Ovis aries: one gene and its partners. The protein of the gene in region 2 purifies or fractionates together with the protein of the main gene of each other region. This does not show direct contact. Links are inferred from orthologs where the notes say so. Each region holds a gene or a part of one and is shown on either strand. Other genes may lie near its edges. The genes, in order: HNRNPR, ILF2 and SF3B4.

Region 1 (10,275 bases), on a different chromosome or scaffold from region 2:
AAAAAAAACAAAACACTGTATTTCCCAAGAATCAACCTTCAGATTATATGGACTGCTGGAGTTGTTGCTAACCACCCAAGAAGTGCGGGAAAAAATGAATTATTTTTGCTAAATAATTCTTCCCACTCTCCAACAAGTGTCAAAGGCTTTCCCTCCTTAGCACCAAAGATAAAATGAAGTTTCATTTGTTTTGAGCATCTACTTTGCTGCAGTCAGAATGTGGAAAGGCATATTTTACATTAAATTTTTCCTATAAATGCAAGTGCAGCTTGATTAATCAATTCTGAAAAGTCATATTTTAAGGCATTTTTTGTTCTTCACAAGTGTCACACTGAGATTTTAAAAGATGCTGTAGCATTAGCAACACTGTCAACAATGACAATTTTTTTTCAAATGGCAGTAAAAGGACTTTACTATGGACTTAAAGCAAAGTATATAAAAAATATATGCACTGCATTCTATATATACATATAGTATATTTAACTGCACAAAGAACATCTACTATGTTTAAATATAATTTAAGTCTGTTAAATTTTATATTTCTGAATATATTTCAGAATTGATCCAAAGTAAAATGGAAATATTTGGCAGATTAAAAGCCCCAAGTCCATATGAACTAACATCAAAAGTGACTCCATTTTGGTAAAGCCAAAAAGAACTTTATTCCATAATATCACTTGCAAAGTTACTTTAAAAAAAAAAAAAAAAAGATGCCATGATGTAAGAGCTCAAAATGAGCATGCCAAAATAACTGGCATTTCCTTACTTGACTATTCCATATCACCACCCAAAGTCACAACTCAGGATACCCATCAATCACATTCTGTCAATCCAACCCTACACCCAAGCCATCAACCTCTTATCAATAACAAAACACTCTACAAGAGAGCATCTCAAAGCAGATCACTGCCAATTCTCTATGGCAGAACATCAAAGAAAGCTTCTGAGCACTGATTTTCAAAGGGACCATCACCCAGGAGTCAGTCTGAGAAGTCATTTTAGTGTCTCAATGAGCTTTAGCTTGAGCTTCTCGGATTTAAAAATAAATAAATAAATAAGGACAAAAAAAACAGTTATTTGTTACTACAGTACTTAAGACACAGTCTGTGAGACAATTCCATTTTCTCTCCCAGAATCTGGACAGGCACACAAAACACAGAGGAAGAACGCTTCCATCTAATGGCCCCAAAGGGGGAGGACATATTTATTTATGAACAATGCTCTCTAATGGTATATATATTTCTCTCCCTCTTTAGAACTTCAAACCACTTACAACCACCATATTAAAATGTTCAAATTTGCTTAAGCACTTAACCATGGGATTCTAGATTTAAAAAAAAACACAGCTGTTACAAACCAAACACGTCCAAATTACTGAGAGTTGTAGATTTCTGTCTGTCACAAACTGGACAGGCCACCAACTCTCAAGGAGTCTGACATTTTATTATCATTTCAGACAATACCATCTAACTAGTCCTCTTATTATGCCACCTAAATAAGACCTAAGCTATTTTAACAATCACTTTAAGAAGCTAAAGGTAGAAAAGTAAAAGCAAAATGACAACTGATTTAGATTAAGAAAAAAATGTAAATTTGATATGCTGAAACACATTTTAATTGATGGTAAATCTAAGACAAATTGATGTACTGTTCTGAAACAACTCAGACTGCATATTCAACACTAAGGCTTCAAAATAATGAAATAAGAATATCAAAGTCAAACCCAATATGCCCTCAATGAAGGGAAAGTAACATTCAGCTCTACATAGATCAGAAACAATAAGTAATATTTAACCTTTAAAAATCTATAAAATTCAAAGTGGTTTGCCCTCACTTTCATAACCAGTCAGAAACAAGAAATGTATATTATACCTGTCTGAAATATTTCATCAAGTCTTTCTGCCACCTTCTGAGGGAGGCCTGCCTCTATCAGTGTCTTGTAGTGTTCTGTGTGATTTACACTGGAAGTATCCATTGGTTCTTCCTCTTCTTTTAACTGTACCGCATTACCATTCACCTGATTAGCCATTTTATTATGCTGCTGGAAAAAATTCAGGAGCTATATTACATTAAGCCAGAAATAACTAGTTTGTAGGACAATGCATGATTTATCTAATTTGTATACATGCTGCTAATAACCTCTATCGAAATATTATTTCTGATGGCTTTTCTGATGTATCTGACCTAAATTTGCGATAATTCTGTAAAACCATGGGAAATGTACATGGAAGTGTTGAATTTTTAAGGAACTTCATGTACACCAGGTTAGAGAAAAGCTTGAATTTATTTAAGGTAGAATCACTAATTAACAAAAGCAGCAGTTGTGTCCTGATGAGCTTATCAACAGATCATCACAAAATCCTAAAAAGCCCCTCAGCTCTCAATTCTTAAACAGTTTTAAAAAGTCTGGTTTAAAAACAGAATGAACACCCACGACAACTTAAGGTTCAAGGACTTTCAAACTTTACTAGCTCTGCTTCAAAACAACATAGGTGTGAAATAAATGCCCTGTTGTCTCTAGTTCAACATGCTGCTGGTTTGGGTTTTCTCCACCTAACTTAAAAAACACAGCTTGACATTAATTTTTGTTCTAAAATTAATTTGCTATTCCCATTCACAGATTTAAAAGAAAAAATGACCAGGTTTAAAAGCTAAATGATTGTTTTAAGTCCACATAAAATAAAAAGTGAGCTGTAGTTAAGGTTGCTTCTTTTTAAACTTAGGTCAGATGTCTCAGATTTACCTACCCAAATCATTTTGGGTGTTCAACTTTTATGTAATGCTGAAATGGATCAACTCCCTGAAGAGAGATTAAATAATAAAACCATACAAGGCCAGTCTCTATACTAGCTCCGCAAAAGATAGGGAATTAAAGTGCATTTGTCTGTGGTGAAATTATAATGTGATGAAGATAATAAGCAGCAGAATAAAGACATTGCAACAAATACTGAAATAAAAGACATGAAGGTGGATTTCAAGGAAAAGCCTACTTTTCCTGATGAAACTGAAGATACCTAGACAGCTGTAAAGAAAATACAAGTTTCCTAAAAAGCACTAAAATCCATACCTAAGATAACCACACTTCCAGACTGCTTATCAAAACCCTGTGCAAATACACCAGGTGCAGTTTTTCTGACTTAAAACAACTTCAAAGCCCCCTGATATTTCGTTGAAGTTAATGAAAAAGGAAGACTGAGGAGGTAACAGAAAGCAGGAAGAGAGGAAAAGGCACAAACTGTTACTCTGAAAATGAGATAAACAGTATTATAACTTCTTATGATTACAAAACATTAAGACTTAGTAACCCACTAATGTCTATATAGAGGCAGACTCCGTGGTTAATCTCTGGGTGGATAAATGTTTCTCAAGGCAAAACTCAAACTCTGATGAACTGGCAAAAACAAAAACATTCAAAACTGACACTTTTGATAAAGAAACTACTTATAGTGTAAGATGAATAGTTTACTGATTAGTACAACCTACTTCTATAAAGAAGCCTTCAAGTCCAAAATATTTTTGGGAACGTATAGTTGTTTTCCATGCTCACCCACCCTCAAATACGACCATAAGATAGATCATTAGAACTCAAAAGTTCTCAGTATCACAAGACCCTTGCGGTATTGCACCTGGGAATACTATCAATCACGGAAAGAAAGCAAATTTTTAACAGAAAAGTTCAATGAAAATCTGTTAAGGTGGTATTTTTAAAGTTATGTGTAAAGCAAAAAGACAAGTTGTGTATTAAGCACAAGACAAATATTTATGACTATCATTCACTGCAAAGGCTCTCTACAAGTTGATTTTTAAATTGGTTGAAATTTTCAAAAAATGTCTGTAAACTTTAACAAAAAAGTACAACTATTAAGAGAGTCCAGAAAATAACACCTTCCAGATCAAGGAAAAAGCTCTCTTCAAACCAAATATAATGCGCTCATATTAAAAAAAGACTTTCATGTCATATGACCATTTAAAACTCTTGTGTCAATTCAATGCCACACAGCCAAACCATATTTCTGGATGCAGCAAATATATTAATATGATTGATGTTATTTGATCTAAACTTTTTTTTGCAAAAAGGAGAAATTAAAATCAGGGTCGCTGGGAAATTTGGGAAATCTGGCACTAGCCCCTTCCTTTTTTTTTTTTTTTTTTTTCTGAACATCTCGTGAAAATAATTCTCATTTTAAGAGACCGGCTTTTAAGGATCCAATGAAATGAAAACTAACGGTTCTCTCATGGCTTAGGAGTGTCAAGCCCTTATCCTACGACTGACTCATGAGACATAAATTTAGACTCCGGAGGACAGCAAAAAATCTGAAACAGGTAGTGTGGAAGGGGCTGAACCCTTCAAGATCCCCGTGGCTTCTTCGAGTCTTAAAATTTTGGCAATACGGTTTCTATCGCAGAAGGAAAAGAGAATCGCCTTTCCAAGAGTGCGCCTATGGCATTTAGACTTCGGTATCTCAGGCGCCGCTCGAAGCCTAAGTTTCATGGCCTCTAGTAGTCATTTTTTCCTTCAAATCTCGACTTGCAGCATGCAGAACTGGGGGAGGGGGGCGGCTGGGGAGGGGAAACGGAGGCCTTTTCCTACACACACTGGCCTCTCGGCCTCTGCTTCACACAAAAGTTTTCTCCCGGCTCGGCTCACCCGGGTTGGCATCCCGCCCTCGGCCCACCCCGGCCCATGCCGGTCCTGACCATCAACAAACCCCACGGGCGGCTAGGCCGGCTGAGACGGGGAGCAAGGCGGGGCTCCGGCAGGGAGAGGCGACGGGGTCTATCTAAAGCGGGGACTGAAAGCGGCCGACTCGGCCGCGTGGAGCGGCGGGCGGAGGCGGGAAAAGCGCGGCGGACCCGGCAGGCCGCGCGGAGGGCGCCCGGCGGGCCGGACCGCGGGCCTGGGCTTGGAGGGGAGGCGGCGGGTGGCGGGGAGAGCGGGGAGGATGAGCGAGGGCGAGGAAGCGCCTCGGCGGCGGCTAGGCCCTCCGCTGAGCAGCCGGACGAGGCCGAAGCCGCCCCCAGCCCATCCCCACCCCCACCCTGGGGGCCTCGGAGCGAAGACGAAACTGGGGAGCAGGCGCCGAGCCCCGGCCTGGCCCGGTAGGGTCGGATCGGGGCTCCCGGCCCCTCCCCCCGCGGGCCGGCGCGAGACTCACCAGGGCAGAGCTGGGGCCGGTGGCCGGGCCCGTGAGAACCAGCGCGAGGCGCTTTGAAAACGACTAGAAATGGCGCGCGCACCACCCCCTCCCCCCCCCGTCACGGACCGAGACGCGATCCCGGCAGCACGCGGGGTTTCCCGGAACTGCTTCCAGGGACTCTGAGCTGCCGGGCAATCACCTCGCGCGGCGGCCTGACGAACAGCCCAGACAACCAATAGCAGAGAGAAGAGGCGCCCCACGCCGGACGGCTCAGAAGCCAATCGCGGAAGCCGTCGGCTGAGCCAATGAGGGAACTCAGCGCCGCCGGCTGGGGCGCCTCCGGGGCGGGGGCAGGAACACAAAGGGGTCTGTGGCGAAGCCGCGAGTGGTAGGCGAGGCTGTGGGGCCGCAGGCCCAAAGTGGCCGAGGCCCGCCCCCTCTCCCGTCCCTTCTCGTCTGCCGCCCGCGCGAGGCCGCCCCCGGAACCCCGCCCCCTACGGCTCGCATCGGCTCCATCGGCCGCGGGCCCTCGGGCCTTCCCGCCCCTTCACCGGCGTGTTAACGCCGGTAATCCGCCTCCCAGGGGCAGCCGCCGCCGCCGCGTTCACCCCGGACACGCCCACCGCCACGCGGCCGGGCCTCTTCTAGGTCGTTTTCTGGGCTCCAGTTAGAGCACGCTGTAGGGGTTTGGCTCGTCTGTTTTGCTGGAGAATTTCTTCGCGGAGAAAAATCATCCCTTGGAGCACTCAGAAAACTCCCTCCTTGGCTCTCTTCCACACATGGTTGGGAGCAGCTCAGGATGTGAGGGAAATCGCTCAAGTGGGCATTTACTTAAGAGTCATGTTAGCTACAAATGACAGAGCTGAGACCTTTCTGCGTGGGGTTTGGAGCTAATTCATATTCACAAAAGAACATTGGGCAGGTGTATGCATCTACGAAGCCAAAGGAACCGTGCAAGGAAAAGAGCTAATTCCCAAAGGAGGCTAAATCCCTTTTTTCTTAAACATTTCTCACCCTCCACCCCTACTGGTTTGTCCCCTGTTCCTCGCTTTAGTCCGAACCTCACTCATCCCACGGCCCTTCTTTCCCCATCTCCAATGCCCTGTCCCTCTCCAGGCGAGAAGGAAGCCAAGCAGTGGCCTGAAAGATTTCCAGATACACTTCAAGGATAATTTAAATTTCCCGGAAACTATCAGCCAAAAATTAGCTGTTGAAAACCTATGCATTCGGTACTGGGCTGAACGTCATGGACAACCCAACTTCTGCAGCGTGGGGTGTGAAATTTATGCAAATGATTTTACTGTTTAGTAGCTAAGCCATGTCCAACTGTTTGTGTACCCCGTGGACTACAACACAGCCAGGCTTCCCTCTCCACCATCTCCCCGAGTTTGCTCAGACTCGTATACATTGAGTCCGTGGGGCCATCCAACCATCTGATCCTCTGTTGCTCCCTTCTCCTGCCTTCACTGTTAGTCAACATCAGGGTCTTTTCCAAAGAATGGGTTCTTTGCATCAGGTGGCCAAAGTGTTGGAGCTTCAGCATCAGTCCTTCTAATGAATATTCAGGGTTGATTTCCTTTAGGATTGACTGGTTTGCTCTTGCTGTCCAAGGGACTCTCAAGAGTCTTCTCCAGCACCACGTTTCAAAAGTGTGAGTTCTTCAGTGCTCAGCCTTCTTTATGGCTCAACTCTCACATCCCTACCTGACTACTGGAAAAACCATAGCTTTGACTGTAGACATCTTTGTCAGCAAAGTGATGTCTCAGCTTTATAATACACTGTCTAGGTTTGTCATAGCTTTGCTTCTAAAGAGCAAGCATCTTTTGTGCTTAGTTGCTCAGTTGTGTCCGACTCTTCGCAACCCCATGGACAGAGGAGCCTGGCAGGCTGCAGTCCATGGGGATTCTCCAGGCAAGAATACTGGAGTGGATTGCCATGCCCTCCTCCAGGGGATCTTCCCAACCCAGGAATTGAACCAGGGTCTCCTGCATTGCAGGCAGACTCTTTAACCAGCTAAGCTACCAGGGAAGCAAGCCCATTTCATGCAAATTATAATGTAAATTAAAATGCTAATTTTATAATTTGAAATGATTAATATAATCTTATGTAATTTTATGATTATATATATAAATTATAAATAATTTTATAATGCAAATTAAAATGTATATGCTAGGATCCTTAAGAAAAATAATATAAAATGATGAATACAAATTTAGGAACAGAGTCTAGAAGGGCATGGTAAAGGGACTTTGAAGTTTAAACTTTATTAGCTTCACATAAATCTGCATCTAGCTCGAGGGTTCTTAACCTATTTTGTGCCATATGAGAGTCTGGTAAAACTATGGATCTTTTGTGTTTTTAAAAGAGCAAAGTAAAATAGATTGCATTATAAAAGAAATTTTATGTTGAAATACAATCAGGAAATACATATTTAAGACATTTATGATATAGTAAAAAGCCTCTTGATGAAAGTGAAAGAGGAGAGTGAAAAAGTTGGCTTAAAGCTCAACATTCAGAAAACTAAGACAATGGCATCTGGTCCCATCTCTTCATGGCAAATAGATGGGGAAACAGTGGAAACAGTGTCAGACTTTATTTTGGGGGGCTCCAAAATCACTGTAGATGGTGATTGCAGCCATGAAATTAAAAGAAGCTTACTCCTCGGAAGGAATGTTATGACCAACCTAGATACCATATTAAAAAGCAGAGACATTACTTTGCCAACAAAGTCCGTCTAGTCAACACTATGGTTTTTCCAGTGGTCATGTATGGATGTGAGAGTTGGACTGTGAAGAAAGCTGAGCGCTGAAGAATTGATGCTTTTGAACTGTGGTGTTGGAGAAGACTCTTGAGAGTCCCTTGGACTGCAAGGAGCTCCAACCAGTCCATCCTAAAGGAGATCAGTCCTGAGTGTTCATTGGAAGGACTGATGCTGAAGCTGAAACTCCAATACTTTGGTCACCTGATGCGAAGAGTTGACTCATTGGAAGACACCCTGATGCTGGGAGGGATTGGGGTCAGGAGGAGAAGGGGACGACAGAGGATGAGATGGCTGGATGGCATCACTGACTCGATGGACATGAGTTTGGGTAAACTCTGGGAGTTGGTGATGGACAGGGAGGCCTGGTGTGCTGCAATGCATAGGGTCGCAAAGAGTCAGACATGACTGAGCAACTGAACTGAACTGAATCTTTTTCTTTAAACATCAAGATCTTGCAGCAAGATAAACTACTGAAATTTTAAAGCAAAAAGGTATTTCAAGAAATCCCACAGCTGGAATGCGATATTAAAATATCTGTTATTCCTATTGGTGACAGAATGAAAATTACCGCTAACTGTGGTTTGTTTCCTGTATTCACAGTGGGGGAAAATGCTTAATTTCAGCAGTATATTAACAAAAATAGTTATTTTTTTTTCTTTCAAGTTGAAGGACCAGTGAATTCCAGTCAGAGACCCTTCTCCATTTAATATAGAATGAAAACTCCTGGACTGGATACTGTAAGTAAAGTGATTCTATCATCCAATATTTTCTGAGGTCAAATACTCACCTGTATGGTCCTAAGTACACTCCACCTTTTCAGACCATGTATCTGGTTTTTTTAAATTTGGAAAATATGGGCACCTGAGCTTTGCATTTCAAAAGAAAATTGTATGTGTGTGTGTATTCATGAATGTGATATTACACAAATATTTGTTATATGCCCTCTACATATAAATCACTGTGTAAAAGTACAAAATATAACCATAATCGCTGTCCTCTAAGTGCTTACATTCCAGTTTACAAGGCAAGACAAGTATACAAATAAACATAATAAAATGAATTGCTAGGGAGCGCTCCAGCTATATATCTAACCTTTTTAAGATGGGTAACACAGCACAGCTAGACCAGTCCACAGCTCTTCCCTGTCACAGAACAAATCTGTGGTCTAACTGGTATGTCAATGAACAACATGCTTTTGCTTCTTTAAACAATTACAGAGCACCAGAATACTCAAATTGAAGCTTTGACTTTTACTACTTACAACCTGAAGTAACAAAGAATGTTTAAAATTATCAAACCTTTTTATTGGATCCTTAGATTAATCTTTGTCTTACTTGTCCCTTTCATGATTCTAAAGGAAACAGTCTATTCCTCAGACTCCAAACAAGATTACATCAGTTCAGCCTCTTCAAAAATGCCTTTACTTGCTACTAATGAGAAGCCAACTCAGCCACAGTTCAAGGTCACACCTAGGGGAAAGAAAAAAGAAATAATATAGAAAGAAGAATGAGGAGAGAAAAATGGAAAATGAAGAAATACCATGTATAGCATGTTAGTGGAAAGGATATCAACAACCAACCCTTGTTAACATTTAGGTGCCAAGAGGTGTCTACTCAGGGAAGCCCCAATATGATGAATAAGTTAGAAAATACTAGTTAGAAAACTTCAGTTCTACTTGGAATTCTCCCACTGTCAAATAGAACTGTTTATTTCCTCCATCAGACTTCAATAATTATCATTTTAAGCCACTTTCCAAAATGGTAGTGCTCCAATCAAGACTGACCAGAGCTAAAGACTGTGTCTCATTTATACCTCCTAGAATTACCCTTCTTTTAAAAAATAAAGTGCCATCTGGCTGACATTCAATAGCTTATAATCAACTTACTCCAAGATCTTACTGCATGCCTGCTGTATCATTTTTGCAACATTGTTCTCTTGAAGATTATCCTAGCTGGTCCATCTACTTCCCTTCAATTCTCAAATTCATCCAACTGTTTTAAAACAGGAAGAGTGTTTCTCCATCTTAGTGGCAACAGTGTTTTAAACAGCAATCACTACCATTTATGGAGCTCTTACTATGTATTGGGGCTTCCCCGGTGGCTCAGACAGTAAAGAATCTGCCTGCAACGCAGGAGAACTTGTTCAATCCCTGAGTCAGGAAGGTCCCCTGGAGAAGGAAATGGCTACCCACTCCAGTATGGTTGCCTGGAGAACTCCATGGACAGAGAAACCTGGCAGGCTACAGCCCATGGGATTGAAGAGTCAGACACGACTGAATGACTACTGTGTGTTGAGTGCTTTATATATGCTGTGGCTGATCCTCACATGAAAACTTAAAGACTGGTAACATTCCATTTTATTGAGGAAACAAAGCTC
Region 2 (10,258 bases):
CGAATGGGGAGAGAGAAGGGGAAGGGGCACAATAGGGGCCATGGGATTAAGAGGCGCAAACTACTACTTATAAAATAAATGTTACAAGGATACACTGTACAAGACGGGCCTTCTGTAACTTAAAAATTAAAGCAGTATGATTTTACTTCTATACCTAAGGCACAGAGCTGAAGCTATTGCCAGAATTATTCCCTTCTTTCCCTCAACCTAAGTTGCTTGAAGTGAAGTGAAAGTCACTCACTCATGTCTGACTCTGCAACACCATGGACCATATAGTCTATGGAATTCTCCAGGTCAGAATACTGGAGTGGGTAGCCATTCCCTTCTCCAGGGGATCCTCCCAACCCAGGAATCGAACTGGGGTCTCCTGCATTGCAGGTGGATTCTTTACCAGTTGAGCTACCAAGTACTTCAGGTAAAAAAAAAATCAAAATCCAGACAGAAAATCGGTCTAAAACAGTTGTCAGAAAGACTGGGTTATCAGGCTGTTCAGTGTAGTTAGGATTAGGATATATCATCACTCAAATAGGGAGGGACTCACGTGGACTGAGAAGCATTTTCCTCAAACCAGCGGGCATGTCTGATGGCTGCTAAGGCACTCTGTAACACCTTGATATCCACTAGAAGACAAGCATGACATCCACCAAGATGAAACATTCCGATTACTGAGCAAGCAATTCAATTCCACTGCCACACTCCAAGAACTCAGAAGGAAGACAGGATAACTTTGTAATCCCTTGAACTAATCCCCATGTCCCCAGATCAGCAAATCCCCAAATCACTGTTCCTCCCCTAAACCAGATCTGGAAGCATGAAAGAGCCCCAGTTTTCTCCAAAAGCCTACCCCCTCCATAAATATTTCCTCAGTCCTTTTTATTAAGTCCTCAAACTGCTTTTCTTGGCCTGGCTGTTTTTGACAATTTCATTAGCAAGCTGATAAAACTGCTTCCAAATTACAAAGGAAGACAGCAAAGTTTGGGGGTAAACTTGGGTCCCCAAAAGGTCTCATGTGGAATAGCAACAAATGAAATAAATTAATAGCACTTAATACCACATTTTTAATTTCCCCCAAATTTTACAGCAAAGGAATAAAAGGACTAACAGTGGAGTTCTGGGTCCAGTTTTCGGAGATTTGGTGGTACTGTTGTAATGAGAATCTTCACTGTAGCATCAGAAGAGCTGATTTCAAAGCCAGTTTCATTGGTCAGCATGGTCAAAACTGAAAGAAGAAAAATCAGAAGTTGCACTCACATTTCCATTAGATGACCAAAGGTAAATCCAGGATGAGGGTAGGGGAACAGATATTGTATTTATCTACTGATTTATCTAACAGATCTATCTATCTGTTATTATTTGTTATTTACTTGGCTATGGAATCTTAGTTCCCCAACCAGGGATCGAACCCATGCCCCTTACATTGGTAGTGTAAAATCTTAACAACTGGATCACTAGGAAGTCCCAGGTTTTTAAAAAACAGCAACAGTCCAGAGTCAGAATTGAGAACACAGAATTTTAAAAGCAAGGGAAATCAATTAGATTTTGAACGCTGGTGATCTCCGCTAGAAACCTCCCCAACATAAAACTCTGTGCTCACTCTTCCTTCTAGCCTGACCAGACTTTGTTAAATGTACTTATAAACCTGGCTTCTATGACCACTGTATTACATGTTCAGCAACAAACTCAAACCTTCAGAAGGATCCTGTGCTCTTAGGCTCTCCACAACCTTGTTTCCTAGTGCAGCAACAGCTTCCACTAGATTGAAAGAGAAAAAGAGATAATGAAGATTATAATTATTTTAGTAGACTTTCTATGTCTCAAAGCTACTCTGCACTCTGATTCCTGCAGAGCAACGAAAAGCAACTGAATACACACTTTTGCAAGGGGAAGTTTGTAAAAACAGAGAAACTGAAGGCTCGATGACACCTCCTCCTTTACACGCTTTTTTCCACAGTAGGGATTTTTATCAGTGGGACTAATGCCATTTTGGCCTGGATAATTCTTTGTTTGGGGTTGGGAGGTAGGGTCTGTCTTGTCCACTGCAGGATGCTTAGCAGCAACCTTGGCCTCTACCAGAAGACGTTAGCCTCAAACATCTCCAGACATTGCTGAATGTCCCCTGGGGAGCAAAGTCCGTCCTGCAGTAACTGGTCATACATTCTTTCACATACAGCACACCATTTAAATCCCTATGCCTCAAATCCAACTGCTATGTTCTGCTGCTGTGGCCAAAGAGAGGCACACTTACATGTTGGCAAAATCTTTAGGATCACTACCAGGTCAGCCACGTTGTGTCCTGTAGTCATCGTTCCCTTTTTATATGATCCGACTTGTCGGACTTCTTCAATTTGCTGTTGGAAAAGGGATTTAAGAAAGAAAAAACAAAACTTACAAGTGAGAAGCTTATTACCCAGATTTGGAAGTAGCAGAGTTCAAATCATATTCCAAAATGAGCAATGAAAAGCCTGATTCATTACAGCTAGCTGATAGCAATGATGAATCTGGTCCCTAAGACCAGCACGACAAAGGAATTCTACTGTACTTTCCCATTCCAAGAGTGGCTTTAAATAAGCATCTGAAGAATCAAGCGACAGGAACCAAGGAAACTTTCACACTTCCATGACTTCCCTTTCCTAGGACTAGATCTTCAAAAACTCACCACTTCAAATGTCCCTGGAGCCACAATCAAATTGTCAATCACATTGTTTATTTTTGTCACCAGGGAAAGGATAGAGGCCTGAAAAATAGCAGGAAACAAAAATACCCTCAGGTGAAATACCAAGCAACTTTTCATCAAGTTTGACTATTTCCCCAATTCCTTCAATAGGAATCAACACCTATACCGGATTCTGAAAGCACCCAGACCCTCCCAGCCTTGAATATGCCAGAAGAGAAAACTTTGATCCCAACGACAGATTCCCCAATAATAATATGAACGCACATGTAATCTGTTTATACATTCACTTGATGCTCTCCCTTTACACACAATGAAAAATAAGAATGATTAAACCTGTGGAGTTCAGGCTCTGACAACAGTAATCTCACCAAGTAGCTATTTACTTCTCTAGCTTCCTTCATGAAATCTCAGGAAGAAAACCAACAGAATATACCTGTTCAGCAGAATTAGGAGCAAGGTCCTGATTCCTCTTCAGCAAGGCCTCACTGAAGGAAGTTTCATCAGGTGCTGGCTTGACCCGGGGAAAAGCCATTTCACACTAAACAAGAAATATACTATATACTACTTGCCAAAAATAATATGCAACAGATTTTTCTGTTGCCACAACACAAAAAAAGAGATAATTCTACAACACTTATACTCTTGTGACCCTAATATTAACAGACAAGGCAGTGATACAATTAACTGTTCAGAACAAAGATTATAATCATGTTACTGTCGATTGTAATGAAGGACCTATCTTCCCCACCCAGGTTATACTTTTTTGTATGTAAAGCAACACAGATGACTCAAAACTTCCCTTTTTCTACTCCAACTACCACATGACTTCATTAACAGGGAGACACCAGGTTCCAAGAAACAACAATTGAATAGTGGCCAAAGTTAAGTTAGTTAAGTCGCTCAGTCGTGTCTGACTCTTTGCGACCCCATGGACTGTAGCCCACCAGGCTCCTCCGTCCATGGGATTCTCCAGGCAAGAATACTGGAGTGGGTTGCCATTTCCTTCTCCAGGGGATCTTCCCCACCCAGGGATCGAACCTAGGTCTCCCGCATTAGAGGCAGACACTTTAACCTCTTAGCCACCAGGGAAGAGACACCGTACTCACCAAATAGAAGTCAAATGGAATATGTGGCACAAAGGGCCTGAACCTAAAAAGCGGAAAAACAATCCAGATTACTCACCACATAAATCAAACTGACTTCACATAATGGGGCCAAACTCATTTATCAAGAGAGCATGAGAAGAATACTTCTAAACTACAGCTGGATCTCAACAAGGCAGGTAAGATACTCCACTCCTATTTAGATGACTGAAAGGGAAACCAACGGGCACAGATGCTAAGGACTGGCACTCACCCTCCTCCTGGGCCTCCTCTGGAACCAAAGCGCCCGCCACGACCGCGGCCTCTGTCACCCCTAGAAATGCATTATTAACATATTTTAACTTTCTTTTCATCTCATTGAAGCAATCTCCTCGGTACCGGCCGTATGATTTCAGGTTAGCCTACCTCTATCGCTCTGCACTTCCCTTTGGAAGCCAAAGGATCCCATTCTCACTTACACTTCTACACCTTCCAAATGTCCAGCCTCACTCCCCATGACTGGATAACTGATTCACATCAAACCACATTAAAGAGAGCCCTACAAGAAACATCCCATAATCGCCGGGTCCCGCCAACCCTAATACTTCGCAGACTAATGTGACTGCTTATTCATTCGTTCATGTAGTAAAAGCATCTATCAGGCGTATCGTGTATGTCAAGCAACTGGCATTGAGGATGAATGAGACACGTTCCAGCCATCTCAGTCTAAATAGGAGGTGTGGGGGTGCTCCTCCTGGAACCTGAGGACACCCTCTCATCTGAACCCCCCAGAGAGCGAACAGTCGGAACCGCCTCTCGACTCCTGGGCCCCACCCCCCATCCCCGGCCAAGTTTCCCCGCCTCCACTGCCCCCGACCTCCCCTTCTCTTAGAGCCGGAGTTCTCAGGTTTCCGTGCAACCCCCAGGTACATGGCCCTTTCCAGTCCGCCGACTCCTTTCGGACCAACTTCCTAAAGTTTTCGGTCGAATACCTGAAACCTCTCCAGGGCACCCCACAACCCTTACCTCATGGCGTCCTAGATCCCGAACAATGGAGGCCACACCAACCGCCCCTTTCCTCTGGGGAGCCGACAACTGGAGAGGCAGCTTGCCGGCGTGTCCCAACAAACTCCAGCGCGATTGGCTCCCGCCGTACTCCGCTGCTTGTGCCTATTGGTTTGCTTTGGCAAACCGGTTTATTGAGCCAATGAAAAGGGCCTGCTCTGTCAGTAACTAGCCAATAAGAACAGGTTAGACGTTAACGCCCTTTTGCAGACACTAGAGAGCGCTGTGTAAAGAAATTAGTGTGGCTGGCATCTAGAGACCTTTCTATGATTCTTGGGGGGTGAAAACGGCAACAGCAGAGTGGCGCAGCGGAAGCGTGCTGGGCCCATAACCCAGAGGTCGATGGATCGAAACCATCCTCTGCTAGCGGTGCTTTTTTAATTTTTTTCTCCTGGGACAGTTTTTCTGTTTTAAATTTCTTCAGTAAATGTAACTACCGTAATCCTACTTTTCTCTCCCTCAAAATATGCAGCCTTTAAAAGCTGTTTTTGCCATCAGCGAGTGAAATGGAAAAGGCAACCGAAATCATGTAGGAAGGGATTTTGGGTGACTGTGAACACTACATGTCTGGATGTGGTTCACAGAGGCTGAAGCAGAAGAAACGGATATGAGTATGTATGTTGATTGACTCAGGGAAAGTACTGATGGTGAGGGACTAGAAGGGAAACTGAGACAGCCTTTGGAAAGAGAGCTCAGAAAAGGAGGGCAAGGGAAGCGACAGGAGAGAAGGACCAGACCGCTGCCATTTTTTGTCGTTTCCTCTCCTTTCCTCATTCTACAACCTCTCTGGCGGATTCCACCTTTATGCAAAGTTTCACAGCCAAGTATATGGATATACTGTGGTTGCATTTACATCAATTCATATTCAGTTCAGTTCAGTTCAGTCGCTCAGTCGTGTCCAACCCTTTGTGACCCCATGAATCGCAGCACAGGCCTCCCTGTCTATCACCATCTCCCGGAGTTCACTCAGACTCACGTCCATCGAATCGGTGATACCATCCAGCCATCTCATCCTCTGTCGTCCCCTTCTCCTCCTGCCCCCAATCCCTCCCAGCATCAGAGTCTTTCCCAATGAGTCAACTCTTCGCATGAGGTGGCCAAAGTACTGGAGTTTCAGCTTTAGCATCATTCCTTCCAAAAGAACACCCAGGGCTGATCTCCTTTAGAATGGACTGGTTGGATCTCCTTGCAGTCCAAGGGACTCTCAAGAGTCTTTTCCAACACCACAGTTCAAAAGCATCAATTCTTCGGCGCTCAGCTTTCTTCACAGTCCAACTCTCGCATCCATACATGACCGCTGGAAAAACCATAGCCTTGACTAAACGGACCTTTGTTGGCAAAGTAATGTCTCTGCTTTTCAATATGCTATCTAGGTTGGTCATAACTTTTCTTCCAAGGTGCTTTTTGTCCTTCCTATAATCCTGTTTATCCTCCTTGCCTTCTTTTGCATTAATTACTGTTTATTATTCCTTCTCTGCTTCTGTCAATTGAGAGTTCCCACTCCTTTTCTACATTTCTAGTTGTTATCCTAAAAATTATGACGCGCCTCCTCGATTGCCAAAGTCTAATTTTATGAAATCTTTTCCCTCCTCGAGAAAAATGCAAGAAAATTTAATTCCGTTTACCACCATCACTCCCTCCAGGATTGTATATATTGTTGTGTAACCCCTTTAAGTACTATATTGGTGTATTATTTACTACAGCAGATTGCACAGATCTTAAGTCTACAGCTTGATTAATTTTGAGTAATAAATTTTTCCCAGGTAACCACCACACGATTAACATAAAACATTTTTATCACCTCAAAAAATTCACTGATACCCCTTTGCCCTTCTCCTAGAGGCAATCGCTATTCTAATTTCTATTATCAGAGATTACTTTTGTCTGTTGTTCACATAAAAGGGCTCACATCCTATGTACTCGTTTTTTTGTCTAGCTTCTTTTGTTTGACCCATTTTAAAATTCTTCTGAAGTTTTGCGTCTGTCAGTAATTTGTTCCCTTTTATTATGAGTCGCATTCCATTGCATAAATATTCCACAGTTTGTTATCCATTCTCCTGTGTTGAATACAGGACCTCTGACTGGCTGCTGCTGCTAAGTCGCTTCAGTCGTGACCGACTCTGTGCGACCCCATAGACGGCCTCCTACCAGGCTCCTCTGTCCCTGGGATTCTCCAGGCAAGAACACTGGAGTGGGTTGCCATGTCCTTCTCCAATGCATGAAAGTGAAAAGTGAAAGTGAAGTTGCTCAGTCGCGTCCGCACTCTTAGTGACCCCATGGACTGCAGCCCACCAGGCTCCTCTGTCCATGGGGTTTTCCAGGCAAGAGTACTGGAGTGGGGTGCCATTGCCTTCTCCGCTGACTGGCTGAGACACAGGCTAATATATTTGGGTTGTCTCCAGTTTGAAGCCTTTATGAATAAAGCTGCTATGACCATTTTTGTACAAGATTCTTGTGAGATGCAATTGTTCCTATTGGGTAAGTGTTGGTGTATATGTTTACAGAATTTAAATTCCATATATATTTTCAATCCCATAAGACATTAATGCTTACTAAGACAATGGTCACTGAGATTTACCATTTTTAAAGCTTTTTATTCCTTCCTGTATCCACAACACTATGGAATAATACTCCTTGAGAATTAGTGCCCTTCTGCTGGTGGCTAACTTTCTTGTTTTCAGCTTCTCTGAATACATTTTTATTTCACCTTTGTTTTTGGAGGAAATTTTCTCTAGATATGTAATTCTAAACTGGAAGTCATTTTCTTTCAGCACATTTACAATATTATTTTACTATTTATGGCTTCCATTTTTGCTGTGAAAAAAGAGTTGTTAGTCAAATGATTGCTCTTCTGAGAGTAACCAATAGTCTTTTTTCTGATTGTCTTTAAAGATTTTAAAGATTGCCAGGAGAAATATCAATAACCTCAAATATGCAGATGACCCCACTCTAATGGCAGAAAATGAAGAGGAACTAAAGAGCCTCTAGATGAAGGTGAAAGAGGAGAGTGAAAAAGCTGGCTTAAAACTCAACATTCAAAAAACAAAGATCATGGCATCTGGTCCCATCATTTCATGGCCAATAGATGGGGAAAAAGCGGAAACAGTGGCAGATTTTATTTTCTTGGGCTCCAAAATGACTGGGGATGGTGACTGCAGTTATGAAATTAAAAGACACTTGCTCCTTGGAAGGGAAACTATAACAAACCCAGACAGCATTTTAAAACCCAGAGACATCACTTTGCTGACAAAGGTCCCTACAGTCAAAGCTATGGTTTTTCCAGTAGTCATACGAATTTAACAGTTGGATCATAAAGAAAGCTGAGCACCAAAGAATAGATGATTTCAAATTGTGCTGCTGGAGAAGACTCTTGAGAGTCCATTTGGACTGCAAGGGGATCAAGCCAGTCAGTCCTAAAGGAAATTAACGTTGAATACTCATGGGAACGACTGAAACTGATGAAGTTGAAGTTCCAATATTTTAGCCTCCTGATGTGAAGATCAGACTCACTGGAAAAGTCCCTGATGCTGGGAAAGATTGAAGGCAAAAGGAGAAGAGGGAAGCAAAGGATGAGGTGGTCAGATAGCATCACTGACTCAGTGGACATGAATTTGAGCAGGAGATGGTGAAGGACAGGGAAGGCTGGAGTGCTGCAGTTCATGGGGCAGTTCATGGGGTTGCGAAGAGTTGGACATGAGTTAGCGACTGAACAACAATCACAGTGTCACACAGTAACTAATTTGGTTTATATTTAAAAGTAAGACCAAGACTTTTTCAATTACACTCTCACATCCAGAAAATTGTATTATATAGTAAATATTTTCAATGACAAATAAGTGATGCCAGGTACTCACTAATGGATTTAATTGATCCTAATACCATAATCAGTGAAGGACTAGGAAGCCTGGAGTTTGCAGTCCATGGAGTCGCAAAGAGTTGGACATGAGTCGACTAATTGAAAAAGACCCTGATGCTGGGAAAGATTGAAGACAGAAGGAGAAGGTGGGGACAGAGGATGAGATGGTTGGATAGCATCATCGACTCAAGGAACATGAGTTTGAGCAAACTATAGGAGACAGTGAAGAACAGGGAAGCCTGGCGTGCAGCAGTCTATGGGGTCACAAGAAGTCAGACACGACTGAGAGACAAATCTTTCATTTCCTGTAGTTTCATTGTGATGGTTCCAGGTATGGATTATTCTTTTTAATCTTGAGATTTGTTGAGCTTCTTGAATCTGTGGCTTGAAGTACATGTTTTTTTAATTTTCTCAGCCACTGTCTCTTTAAATATTGCTTCTACCCTAGTATTTCCCTCCCTCCTTGGCTCCAAATAAAGGAGAGCCAGACTTTCTCATGATATCTTTTATATCTGCAACCTCCTTTTCTTCCCTCTAACCTCCACTTTTATATTTTTCATTCCTTTTTGTCCATGCTTCGTTCTGAGTGGTTTCTTCTATGCTTTCTTCCAATTCATTACTTACTCCTCACTTGAGTCTAACTTGCTCTTAAACCCATCAATTGGTTCTTAATTTTGGGCTTTTGACCATTTCAAGACTGGATTTTCTGTTTACTTCTGGTTTCCCCTACTCCTGGGTTTCCCCTAAGAGTGCAGCCTTTCAGGACCCTAACCCTAAATAGGAAGATGGTTTCCCCGGGTGATCATCTTTGGGGACATTTGGACTCCAACTTTTGTCTCACTTTCCCCATGTAGCCTATTTTCTGCCACCAATTTTGGATCCGGAAACGACTCCAGGGGGAAAAGGCCTCCTACTGCTGATCTCCTGCTTTCCTCTCCTTTCATGCTCTCACTGTCTTCCTAGACTGTTGATTTTCAAAAGCATTTCATCTATCATTTTTTAGTTATCTTCAGCTCAGCTTGAGGGTTGGACAAATTATTTAAGCCACTATGGGTAAAAGGGAAGCTCAATTACTAAGTTAGATTTCTAGTCTAGTTCTCCTGAGTTCCAGTTCCACTATTCCAATGGCTTATTGGATACCTCCACTTGGGTATCTACAGGCGCTTCAAAACCAATAAACTAAAATTGTTACCTTCCCTCCCAAAACCTTTCAGCTTCTCAACTAATGGGTCAGTGTTACCTAGACTTCAGTTATTGGTATGCTGTATTCTTTTCCTGAATTCCAATTCGTTCTACTTCTATCGCCCTATAATGAACAAGACCACATTATACATTTCAAATTTTGTTGAAAGGGTAGACCTCATGTTAGGTGTTCTTACACACACACACACACACACACACACACACACACACACACACACAAAAGGACACAAGGAAATTTTGGGAGGTGATGAAAATGTGTATTACTTTGATGTTGTGGTGATGGTTTCATGTCCAAGCTCATCAAACCGTAATATATGTTACAAATGTGCAGTTTATGGTATAACAGATATACTTCAATAAAACTGTTTTATTTTTTTA
Region 3 (10,398 bases), about 4.1 Mb from region 2:
AAAGACAGTAGGGAATTCAGCAAAGGCACTAATTTACTCTATGACAGTGTGAATTCATCAACATGATATCAGAAAACAGCCAGAAATGCCTCATAGGAGGAGTTCCCTGGTGGCCTAGTGGTTAGGATTACAGGCTTTCACTGCCACAGCCCAGGTTCAATCTCCAATCAAGGAAGTGAGATCTCAGAAGAATCCATTCATTTGATAGATAACCTGAAGGCAGAAAGCACACAGAGACTGAGACAAAGCTTCCCAACACCTGGGGATGCTCCAGTGTTGGCCTCTGGCGTGTGGGGCCAGGATCCAGCTGCTGGCTATGCCAGGTTCCAAGCATTTCTGGGACCTCAGTTTATGACCACATATAGCAGAACTCTGCTTGAAATTAAGGTGGTCAGTTCGTCCCCTTGTGACTCAGAAGCCTGGTATCCAGTCATGCTGTGAAATACCGTGTCTAATCTTCCCCCAAGTTTTTAGTTTGGCCAATGTAAGCGCTGCATGCAGGCTCTTAGTTCCACGAGCAGGGAGGAAACCGGTACACCCTGCAGTGGAAGCACAGAATCTTAACCACTGGATCGCCAGAGAAGTCCCTCCCCCAAGCTTTTGACATATGTAATCAGACATCCACTAGATGACTCAACCTGCACACCTTCCAACACACTACAAAGTCAACATACCCAAAACTGTGCTTATCATCTTTATCCTGCTTCCCCAAGTTCTTCCTGCTGCATACTCTCATCTTTGATTCCACTCTTCCTTTCATTCATTGTATCCAATCTAATACCACGTCCTAACTTGCCTTTTAAGTATCTCCCCACTGGAGGCTTCCCAGTGGTAAAGTGGCAGAGTCCACCTGCCAATGCAGGAGAATCTGGTTCTCCTGGTTCGATGCTGGTTCGATCCCTGGGTTGGGAAGATCCCCTGGAGGAGGAAATGACAACCCACTCCAGTATTCTTGCCTGGGAAATCCCATGGTCAGAGGAACCTAGAATTCTTAAGCCAATAGTGTAAAGCCTGAAGCATCCTATCTGTGTGCTGTTTGAAATGGTTCTCTGTGCCACAATGTGAGAAGGGCTGAGAACTAATCTTTGGGCACTCCCTGACTGGTTCTGACCTCATCCTGCCTCCAGCACTGAACAGCTTTAGCTTTAGCACATTACAGACTATGCTATTTATCAGTCTTTTACTTCTGCTCAGAAGCATCCCACAGATCTGGAATGAGTTTCCCTTCATCTTAGTCTGAGAAGCTTCTAACCTTCAAGATCATTCAACTATCATTTTCCCAGAAAGTTTTCTTGGACTTTCAAGCCAGGTTGGATACCCTTCCTTCCGCTCTCAAAATATTTTGTTTCATAATAATCTCTTATATATCAGTCTACTGCCCTGGTGGCTCAGACGGTAGAGACTGCCTGCAAGGTGGGAGACCCAGGTTTGATCCCTGGATTGGGAAGATGCCCTGGAGAAGGAAATGGCAACCCACTCGTGTTCTTGCCTGGAGAATTCCATGGTCGGAGAAGCCTCGTGGGCTATGATCCATGGGGACACAGAGTCAGACACAACTGAGCGACTAACACTTTCACAACCCCCTGGTAATGATCAGACAGCAGAACTGCCCTGCTCATCTTTGTATCTTCAGTGGCCACCAGCAGAGTCCTTGTGTGTACGATATTACCTGAATGAGAACGATGCAAAAGAACAAGAGGGCCAGGCTTACCTTTTCTTGCCTGGAGTTTAAGAAAGTTCGTGGTTACATAAGCCATAAAGAGCTTTGGAGAAGAGGATGATATAACGGGATTAAATGTGGCAAAGGAAAGAATAGGCCATTGGATTTGATCTAGTTACTTAAAGTCTAAGCACAGATTTAAATATGATGGAAATCAGGTTTGGAAGGCCTGAGGAGAAAGGAAATAGGAATAAGATACAAACCCCTTACCCAAGATATTTGGCAGTATAAAGAACAAAAGAAAATGAAGGATTACTGAGTTCCTACAGTCCCATTGCAATTACTTTGCTACCATTTAAGATACATGGTTCCACAATAACATAGTATTGGACTTGAGAAATCCAGTTTCCCTCCATATTCCTTCCCTTCCCCCAGTGGGTATCAATTTCCATTAGTTTATGGTTTATCCTTCCTTTTTCTGGCCGTGTAGCATGAGGGATCTTAGCTCTCCGACCAGGGATTGGATCTGTGGCCCTTGCAGTAGAAGCAGATAACCTCTGGAGCTCCAGGGAAGCCCTATCCTTTCATTTTTAAAATAGAGACAAATGTACAACATACATTATGTGTCACCCTTTAGATAAGAAAGCACATTATGCCTTCTGTTCTACATGCTACTTTCTTCACTTAATATAGCCTCGTGATCTCTCCAATCAGTGTGTAGAGTCTCCCTCATTCCTTTTTACTGATGCTTAGTATCCTACTGTATAGATTTACCAGTTTATTCAACCAGTCCCCTACTGACTGATATGAGAGTTGTTTCCAATCTGTTATTGCAAATAGTGCTGCAATGAATAGCTTTGTGCATGTTACTTCCTATTTTTGCCATCTTATTTCTAGGAACTTTACTTCTATTCTAACTTAGTACTCACAACAACTATGCCGTAGATACTGGGTCTTCATCTTATGTATAACTTTGATGTAATGAATCAAGTGCTGCAGTACACAGCAGTCCAGCATTTGCAATAGCACATTATAGAGTAAGTCTTTAAAACTTGGAATAAACACCCTCACTCCTACCTTACCGTTCTTCTCCCAATATACGGACATCTCTTCTCAGAGAAAAAGAAGTTATTCTGTCAAGTTAAGCACCACAAACGATAAACAAGGAGTTTAGTTTAATTTTCTCTGGGTATTTGTAAAACACTTAGGGCCAACATAGGAAAAAATAAAATAAAATACAGCCTCCTGTGAAAAAATTACACTTACAAAAGAAAGGCCTGAGAGGGATTAGTGCCTTAGCCCCTCGGAGCTATAGCAACTCTGATTGGTCCAAGGAAGTGAATAGATATTGGGAGGCTACAACAGGAGGAAAAACAATGAGAAATCACTGAGGGAGAGGGCCTCGAAGTGGGCCTCGAGGGGGCACTGGAGGTCGGGGAGTAGGTCTGGGTGGAGGGAGGGGCCCCCGCTGGTAGCCGTAGGGTGGAGGTCGTGGAGGGCCAGTGTATCCATGAGGAGGCATCAGTGGAGGAGGTCCACGCATACCATGCGGAGGCATAGGACCTGGGTGACCTGCAGGTAAAAAAGGAAAACAAAGTAAAAACAAGGAATAGGAGACAGTTCATATTGGGACAATGTAAGGAGAGGATACACTGGGAGATAGTGAAAAGAAAGAGAAGAAAAGAAAGTGCAGGGGATAAGAGGTGTGACAAAACAAGCTGCAAGAACAATATGTGAGGATGAGGGAGGTGGCTAAAGACTACTCACCCATAGGAGAGCCAAACGGAGGCCCTCGGGGGGGCATGCCCATTGGAGGAGGTCCAGGATGAGGCATTCCAGGTGGTGGTCGGGGTGGTGGCTGCCCCCCAGAGCCAGGCGGCCCAGCGTGGGGGTGCCCTAAGCCATGAGGGCCATGGTGGGCCAGCTGCATCTGAGACATCCCTATGAGAACAAAACAAGACACAGTGAGAAATGAGACAAAAGGAAGTTAGAAGACAGGAGGGCAAAGAAGACAGAGAAGAAAATGAAGAAAGTGACATCAGATAGAATACAGAAATTAAAGCTGGTAAAAAGTGCCCTTATCTTTGACTCCATCCCAAGAGAATAAATCAACCAACTACCCTACAGCTCCCCAGTCCCTGAAGCCCATTTGCTCCTTCCATGATTTAGGCATTGTAACAGTGCTGCAGAATGGCGTGATTATTCTACTGAATAGAATCTGGGAAGATAACAGAGACACTGTCACAGCAAAGATCTAATTCTAAAGGATGAACAGGAATTTTTCAGGTGGACAACAGAGTGGGAAAAGAACATTCCAGGCAGAAAAAAATCAGCAGGTGCAAAGCATGGATGTGATCAACAGCACAGTATGTTAAAGGAAACCCAGTAGAACAGCTTGTAGTCATGGGAGTAACAGGCAGGAGCCAGATTATGCAAAGCCTAGAATGCTATGATAGCGAGTTTGGGTTTCACTCTGTAAGTAAAAAGGAACAACCAGAAGAATTTTGAGCAAAGGTGTGTGAATATCTGTATTTAAGAAAAATTACTCTGAGATAGTCAATCAAAGTAGAGATAATTAGAGTCAAAGTGTCAGTTAGGGTATTACTAAAATAAATTAGGTGTGAAATAATGAGGATAGGAGAGCCTGGGCTTCCCAGGTGGCGCTAGTGGTAAAGAACCAATGCAGAGAGCCTGTTGTTCTCTTTGGTAAAACTTAAACAAGAAATGAAGACAGCATGATGGTTGTTAAAATAAACGGTAAAGTATCTTGCATTTTTTTCCTAAAAGAATGTCTGAAAGAAAGGAGAGCTTGGGCACTATCTATTATTGTTAAAGGACAAAGAACAGCAGCATTAAGTGCTGACAGAGCTCCTCCATCAAGCTCATCCCTCTCCTTCCCAGCAAAGAACGCTCACCTGGATGGGGCATCCCACCAGGTGGGAATGGGTGAGGATGTGAGTGTCCGTGTCCAGGATGTCCAGCCCCTGGGGTTCCCGCTGATGGGGGACCATGTCCTCCAGCCCCAGGAGGCATAGGTGGTGGTGGCATGGCTGGGGGTATCCCAGGAGGAAGGGCTCCAGGAGGTGGTACTGGAGGTGGGAAGGAGCCAGGAGGAGGCATGCCTATAGAGAAAATGGAAAAACAGTTAATGATAGTGAGCAGAGAGTGCCTTTAGAGAGCCTGTTCCACCCTGGCCTCTCCAGGCCGAATGAGCTCTTTTCCCCTCCTCCCAGCTCTCTGAAGTCAGCGGCAACATTAAGTGACTTGAACAACAACCTTCTGGAGAAAACTCAACAACTTTCTTCCCACCACAATCATCATCCCTCAACCCCTTTCTCATCACCTAATGACTCAATGTCCTCTCCTTGCCAGGTTATTTTTCCTTCTTCCTGGCCCCACCCTTCCCAACCCAACACAAACATTTTTTATCAAAAGCTTTACCTGGTGGAGGAAGCCCAGATCCCAATGATGATACCACAGGATTGGGAGCAGATGGTGGAGGGGGTGCATCTGCAAATAGCTGATGAGGGCGGTCAGCCTGGGAGAGTGGGTTCTGTGCTGCCAGAAGTCTTTCAGCGGCTGAGCCATGGCGCTCACCCTTGGAGTCCTTCTTGAATGCGTAGGACACAGTGATTGGGCGGTTACAGAGGTACTGCCCATTCATGGCCTCAATCGCTGCATCCGAAGCATCAAATGAAGCAAAATTAATAAAGGCATAACCTTTGGAGTTGCCTGTGTCAGGGTCCCGCATAATCTTGGGGGTTTGTAAGATGACCCCAAAGGCGCTAAAAGTATCATAAAGCAACTTCTCATCAATCTCCGGGTCCAGGTTCCCAATAAAAATGTTGGCCCCCACATCCAGGTTTTTGTTGTGAGCTGATGCCTTGTTCACCCGTATTGGCTTCCCATAGAGTTTGATCATGTTCATGATCTTAATGGCATAGTCAGCATCTTCCTCACTCAAGAATTCCACAAAGCCATAGCCTGGGGAAGTGGAAAAGAAGAGGTTAGCAACTGAAGTGATTTAAAAACGAGTTTATAACTCATTTGTCTTCTAAAGCACAAAGGATAAGAAATAATAATCCCAACTTCAATTGAGAATGGTTCCAGAAACAAAATCTTTAGTTTGCTCACTCCAAAACTTAATATCACTGGAGACCTCCAGGAGCAGTCTGTCCCTTTCATAGATAACTGTACTTTTTGCCGTGTACTCACCTTGGTGCTGACCAGTGACTCTATCCTTTGGCATGTGCGTGTTCACTACTGGTCCTGCCTGGAGAAATAGTTCCCACAGCAGTGGTTCGCTAACCTTCTCATCGAGGCCCCCCACGTACACAGTGGCATCTGGAAGACAGGATTAAGAGGTAAGGACAGAGATGAGGGGAAATAGGGAGGTAACGGGAACATGAAGATGGAACCCAGGCGGAGGAAGTGGACGTGGAGATGGGGTAGAAAAGCGAAAAAACAAAAAGATGTTAGATTAAGCTTTTAGAAGCTCCTCCTTTCCAGAAAATAGACAATCTTATGTCTAATTTAGAGTGACGGTGCAAGTTCACTCTGTAACTTTTCTTTTTCTTTTTTTTTTTTTTGAGTGGGAAGGCAGCAGAGGACTGGACACAGCATCACAACTATAGGCCTCAAGTCTGTCCATCCCGTCCCCATAAGGCATCGGGACCAGTCTGGCGCCCTTCGGAAAGGCAAAATCTCCCGCCCCAGCGGAAACATTGCTGGGCCTAGTCGAGGTCCCTCAAACCCCCAGAGTCCATTCTGGGTCTGTCCCCTCCAGTCACCCTGGTTTCGCTCGGAGATCGGCCCGGCAGCCATGGCGAAAGCGCTCCCGCCGTCTCCAGGCAGCGATCCCGCCCCCTGACCTCAGTCACTACTTCCGCTTCCGAGGCGAAGGCTGACGTGAGGTGGTGGGCGGGGCCGCGGCAGGGGAGGAGCCGGAAGCGGCCTCGGCCATCTTAGGAGACGCTGAGACTGGAAGCGGCTGAAGTAGCGGTGCGCTTCGGTCCACGCTCCCGTGCAGAAGTGCTACTATGAGCGGACGCGGCGGGGAAAGTGAAAAGGAAACGTTCTGTCTCTTTTAAGGCAGTGCTAGAAGTTAAAGGGTCACACTGCTCCCGAAACTGTCACTTCAGAAGCTGGGAGAACAAAACTTTAGTTTTCATGTGTTTTGTAGCCTTTTTTTCCCCCTTAGAAGGGTGTACAGAGGAACCGCTCAACGCAAGGCGTGGGGAGAACCGTCCATCCCAACCCGCAGTCCTTGAACAGACGCGGCCTCACAGCCCAGGCCTGAGCTTGAGGTATTTCCTTTTTCCTCAGGGAAGGAATTGTGGAATGTCTGAGCTCGCCTAGTCACTGCATAGGAGGGGAACCTGAGGTTCGGAGGTGGGGTGGTACCGAAGTTTACGGGGGTTTGATACTGAAGCCCAGAGGCCGAGGCCGAGGCCGAGGCCGAGGCCTTCAGAGCACACCCTGAACTCCAGCAACCTCTGGGCGTGCCTTTGCCCTGTCTACACGGAAGAGAGGACCTTAAATTGTGAATCCTGCAGCGCCTCACGCAGCCCAGCCCCTTACTTCCTTAGCAGTAATATGGTCGGTACCGTCCCTTCGTGGGTCACATTCCTTTCCCTCCTCTCCCACCACTCCCTTACCTAAGGTTCCTTTAATCAGACACAAACAATGCCAGCGGCGTGTATAAATATTGTGCTTTAATGAACTCCTTAAATAGAAATGTCACAATGAAAATATATAATTGGAAGAGATAGGGTGTCCTGTGTATATTCCATACCCATAGAAAACTATAAGGGAAGAAATAGAAATTGGAATTAAGCAGCAAGAGGAGGTGAGAAGGAGGTCTGTAGGCCATCTTGTTGGCACTGATAAACAGTATATCTGATTATCACAATTTACCAGCGCAATATCCAAAATTTCCATCCCAAAGACATGGAATTGCCCTGAAAAAGAGAGGCAGTCTTCTGGATTGTTGTTGTTTCTTAATTCTTCAAATGATAAGAACTGTTTAAACCAAACAAGGCAGGATAAGAGTTGGATAAGGTTAGCACCACTCATCCTCAATAGAAACTCAGGTCAGTGATCTTGTTTATGAAAGCTGAGGCAGCAAGACCAGATAAGAAAAACCGAAGGATTAGACAAAACTCTCCCTCACCCCAGACCACCCTCTGCCCTGCCCATGAGAAAGCCAGCAATTTCAACGGGATTGGGAGAGAATGGTATTTGGGTTTCTTTTCTTGGAGTGATCCTCGGGAGATATTCGTGGTGTCCATTTCCTTAATAACTCTTGAAGATGGGATAGCTCCTCCTGGAGACCAGAGATTGTGGGAGCTGAGAGGCCCATCTGGGAAGAGGGTGAAGAGAGGCAGAGAGGATCCTTAATTCTCTTAGTTCCCTTTCCTCCTCCAGCTATCCCCTAGGTTCCACTTGATATAAGCCAGAAGCAGTTTTCCCACACTCCCAAATCTATCCGCTTTGATACCAATAGGAATGGTATCTAACTTCCCAGTCCCCCAAACCCTTGCCCTTCTGCTCCTGGAAACATCTGGTTTCTCCTAGAACATCTGGTTCAAAAGTCAGACCCCTTCTCCCACTCCCAATTTTTGCCTTCCCTTCTCACCTGGACCTCAGGCCTTCCCCTCAGGTAGCAGCGTCTCCAGAGCCTGATCTGGGGTCCCAGACATCCAGGCAGCAGCAGTCCCGGGGGTAAAGGGCAAGCTCCCCAGTGTGAGGGGAGCCCCCACTCCTGATCAGCCAGGCTTTCAGAAGAGATAGCAGGTCGAGGGAGCCAACGAGAGGAGACTGCCAGCAGGGAGGGACTGTCCCGCCAAGGACAGAGTTGATTCAGGGGTGTCAGGGCCCCTCTAGAGAAGAGCCACACGGAACTGGGGGGCCCAGGAACCATGAAGCTTGGCTAAGGAGGAACAGGAAATCAACTGGCAACTTAGAAACCTGATGACCCCCAGTTTCCCCAAACTGGGTCATGAAGGAATGTCCAGCTGTCACCCACTGCACACTGTACCAGTTATCAAACTACAAGCCTTCCCCTGAGAACACTTTATCTGCTCTCCTTATTAGACTTCAAACTAGGCCTCAGGACTGATTAAAGTTGATTTTAAGGAAACATAAAAATGTGTGCATGAGACAAGAAGACTAATAAGGATGAGGAGGACCAAAAAAGATGCCATTTGTGATTTGTAGGATTTCTGTCTTCCTGGGGACAGTTAGGACTATAAATGACACCAGAGGGGGAATGAGGAACTCAGACACTATCACCTCTCCTCATCTAGTAGGATGAGCCTGTGAAAAAAATCAAAGGAATTTAGGAACTTCAGACACTTTACCTGCTGTCTAGGGAGCCAGGAATCTGGGCAGTGTTCTGGGTTATAGCCAGGATTACAGAATTGTAGTATTTGTTTATTGCTGTAGCGTAAATTCCAGTCCCAGACAGATAGTTGTGGGTTAATAGAGTTCCCAGCCCCTGGGAACCCAGGGGTATAGACTTGTGTATAGTTGTTGAACTAGACAGAGGAAACAAGAAGAGGAAGGTTAAACAAAAATATATAATCCTCCCCAGTTTAGAGATAAATCGTGAAACTCATCTTATTCTAAGAATCAGATGTAAGGCTTCCCTGGTGGCTCAGTGGTAAAGAATCCACCTGCCAGTGCAAGAGGCACAGGTTCAATCCCTGGTCCAGGAAGATCTTATCTACCTTGAAGCAACTAAGCCTGAGCACCATGACTGTTGAGCCTGTGATCTAGAGCTTGGGAGTCACAACTACTGTGAGCCCACATGCCACAACTACTGAAGCCTGCACACCCTAGAGCCCATTCACAACAAAAGAAGCCACCACAATGAGAACTCCATGCACCACAACTGGAGAATTTGCTGCAACTAATGTGAGAGTTGGACTGTGAAGAAAGCTGAGCACCGAAGAATTGATGCTTTTGAACTGTGGTGTTGGAGAAGACTCTTGAGAGTCCCTTGGACTGCAAGGAGATCCAACCAGTCCATTCTGAAGGAGATCAGCCCCGGGATTTCTTTGGAGGGAATGATGCTGAAGCTGAAACTCCAGTACTTTGGCCACCTCATGCGAAGAGTTGACTCATTGGAAAAGACTCTGATGCTGGGAGGGATTGGGGGCAGGAGGAGAAGGGGACGACAGAGGATGACATGGCTGGATGGCATCACTGACTCGATGGGCGTGAGTCTGAGTGAACTGCGGGAGTTGGTGATGGACAGGAAGGCCTGGCGTGCTGCGATTCATGGGGTCGCAAAGAGTCGGACATTATTGAGCGACTGAACTGAACTGAAAGAAGAGCCCACTCAGCAATGAGGACCCAGCACAGCCACACACAAAGAAAAGAATCAGATGTAGGGTGAAAGTCCAGTCCTGAAAGAAAGCGCCAACCTCCTCCCCCTTTCCCACCCGCAGACCACTTTTCATATTCAAGGGTAAACTTCAGAGAGTAGTTCTTTTGTTGACTAAACTGCTTGTGGGATCCTAGTTCCCCCGACCAGTAATTGAACCTGGGCCATGGCAGTGAATGCCCAGAATCCTCACCACTAGCCCACCAGGAAACTCCCAGAGAGTACTTAATGGGTAGGGGAAAGCCAAAAATGGAAGTCACTGACCTGTCCACTCTGCTTTCCACGCTCCCAGGGGGTGTCTCTCAAGAATGTAAGGGTGTCAGGAACTCTGACACTGTCATGAAGAGCA

The links.
Region 1: the proteins of ILF2 (region 2) and HNRNPR purify together in Homo sapiens (affinity purification with mass spectrometry; 3 studies listed by BioGRID and IntAct, counting the BioPlex papers as one, with this or other methods). This does not show direct contact. The link is inferred for Ovis aries from reciprocal best matches to the Homo sapiens genes ILF2 and HNRNPR.
Region 3: the proteins of ILF2 (region 2) and SF3B4 fractionate together in Homo sapiens (co-fractionation; 3 studies listed by BioGRID, with this or other methods). This does not show direct contact. The link is inferred for Ovis aries from reciprocal best matches to the Homo sapiens genes ILF2 and SF3B4.

Annotation. Positions count from the first base shown.
Region 1 is NC_056055.1:243,232,860-243,243,134, reverse strand, and holds the start of HNRNPR (heterogeneous nuclear ribonucleoprotein R), read right to left. Parts: upstream 5,252-10,275; 5' UTR 5,157-5,251; intron 2,042-5,156; exon of another isoform or gene 2,039-2,041; 5' UTR 2,030-2,038; coding exon 1,873-2,029; intron 1-1,872. UniProt on the Homo sapiens protein: Component of ribonucleosomes, which are complexes of at least 20 other different heterogeneous nuclear ribonucleoproteins (hnRNP). hnRNP play an important role in processing of precursor mRNA in the nucleus.
Region 2 is NC_056054.1:104,110,136-104,120,393, forward strand, and holds the start of ILF2 (interleukin enhancer-binding factor 2), read right to left. Parts: upstream 4,839-10,258; 5' UTR 4,788-4,838; coding exon 4,783-4,787; intron 4,091-4,782; coding exon 4,031-4,090; intron 3,824-4,030; coding exon 3,781-3,823; intron 3,213-3,780; coding exon 3,108-3,212; intron 2,735-3,107; coding exon 2,657-2,734; intron 2,349-2,656; coding exon 2,246-2,348; intron 1,753-2,245; coding exon 1,687-1,752; intron 1,220-1,686; coding exon 1,103-1,219; intron 621-1,102; coding exon 542-620; intron 1-541. UniProt on the Homo sapiens protein: Chromatin-interacting protein that forms a stable heterodimer with interleukin enhancer-binding factor 3/ILF3 and plays a role in several biological processes including transcription, innate immunity or cell growth.
Region 3 is NC_056054.1:100,029,568-100,039,965, forward strand, and holds SF3B4 (splicing factor 3B subunit 4), read right to left. Parts: upstream 6,522-10,398; 5' UTR 6,485-6,521; coding exon 6,451-6,484; intron 6,005-6,450; coding exon 5,876-6,004; intron 5,645-5,875; coding exon 5,102-5,644; intron 4,783-5,101; coding exon 4,576-4,782; intron 3,602-4,575; coding exon 3,428-3,601; intron 3,233-3,427; coding exon 3,045-3,232; 3' UTR 2,819-3,044; downstream 1-2,818. UniProt on the Homo sapiens protein: Component of the 17S U2 SnRNP complex of the spliceosome, a large ribonucleoprotein complex that removes introns from transcribed pre-mRNAs.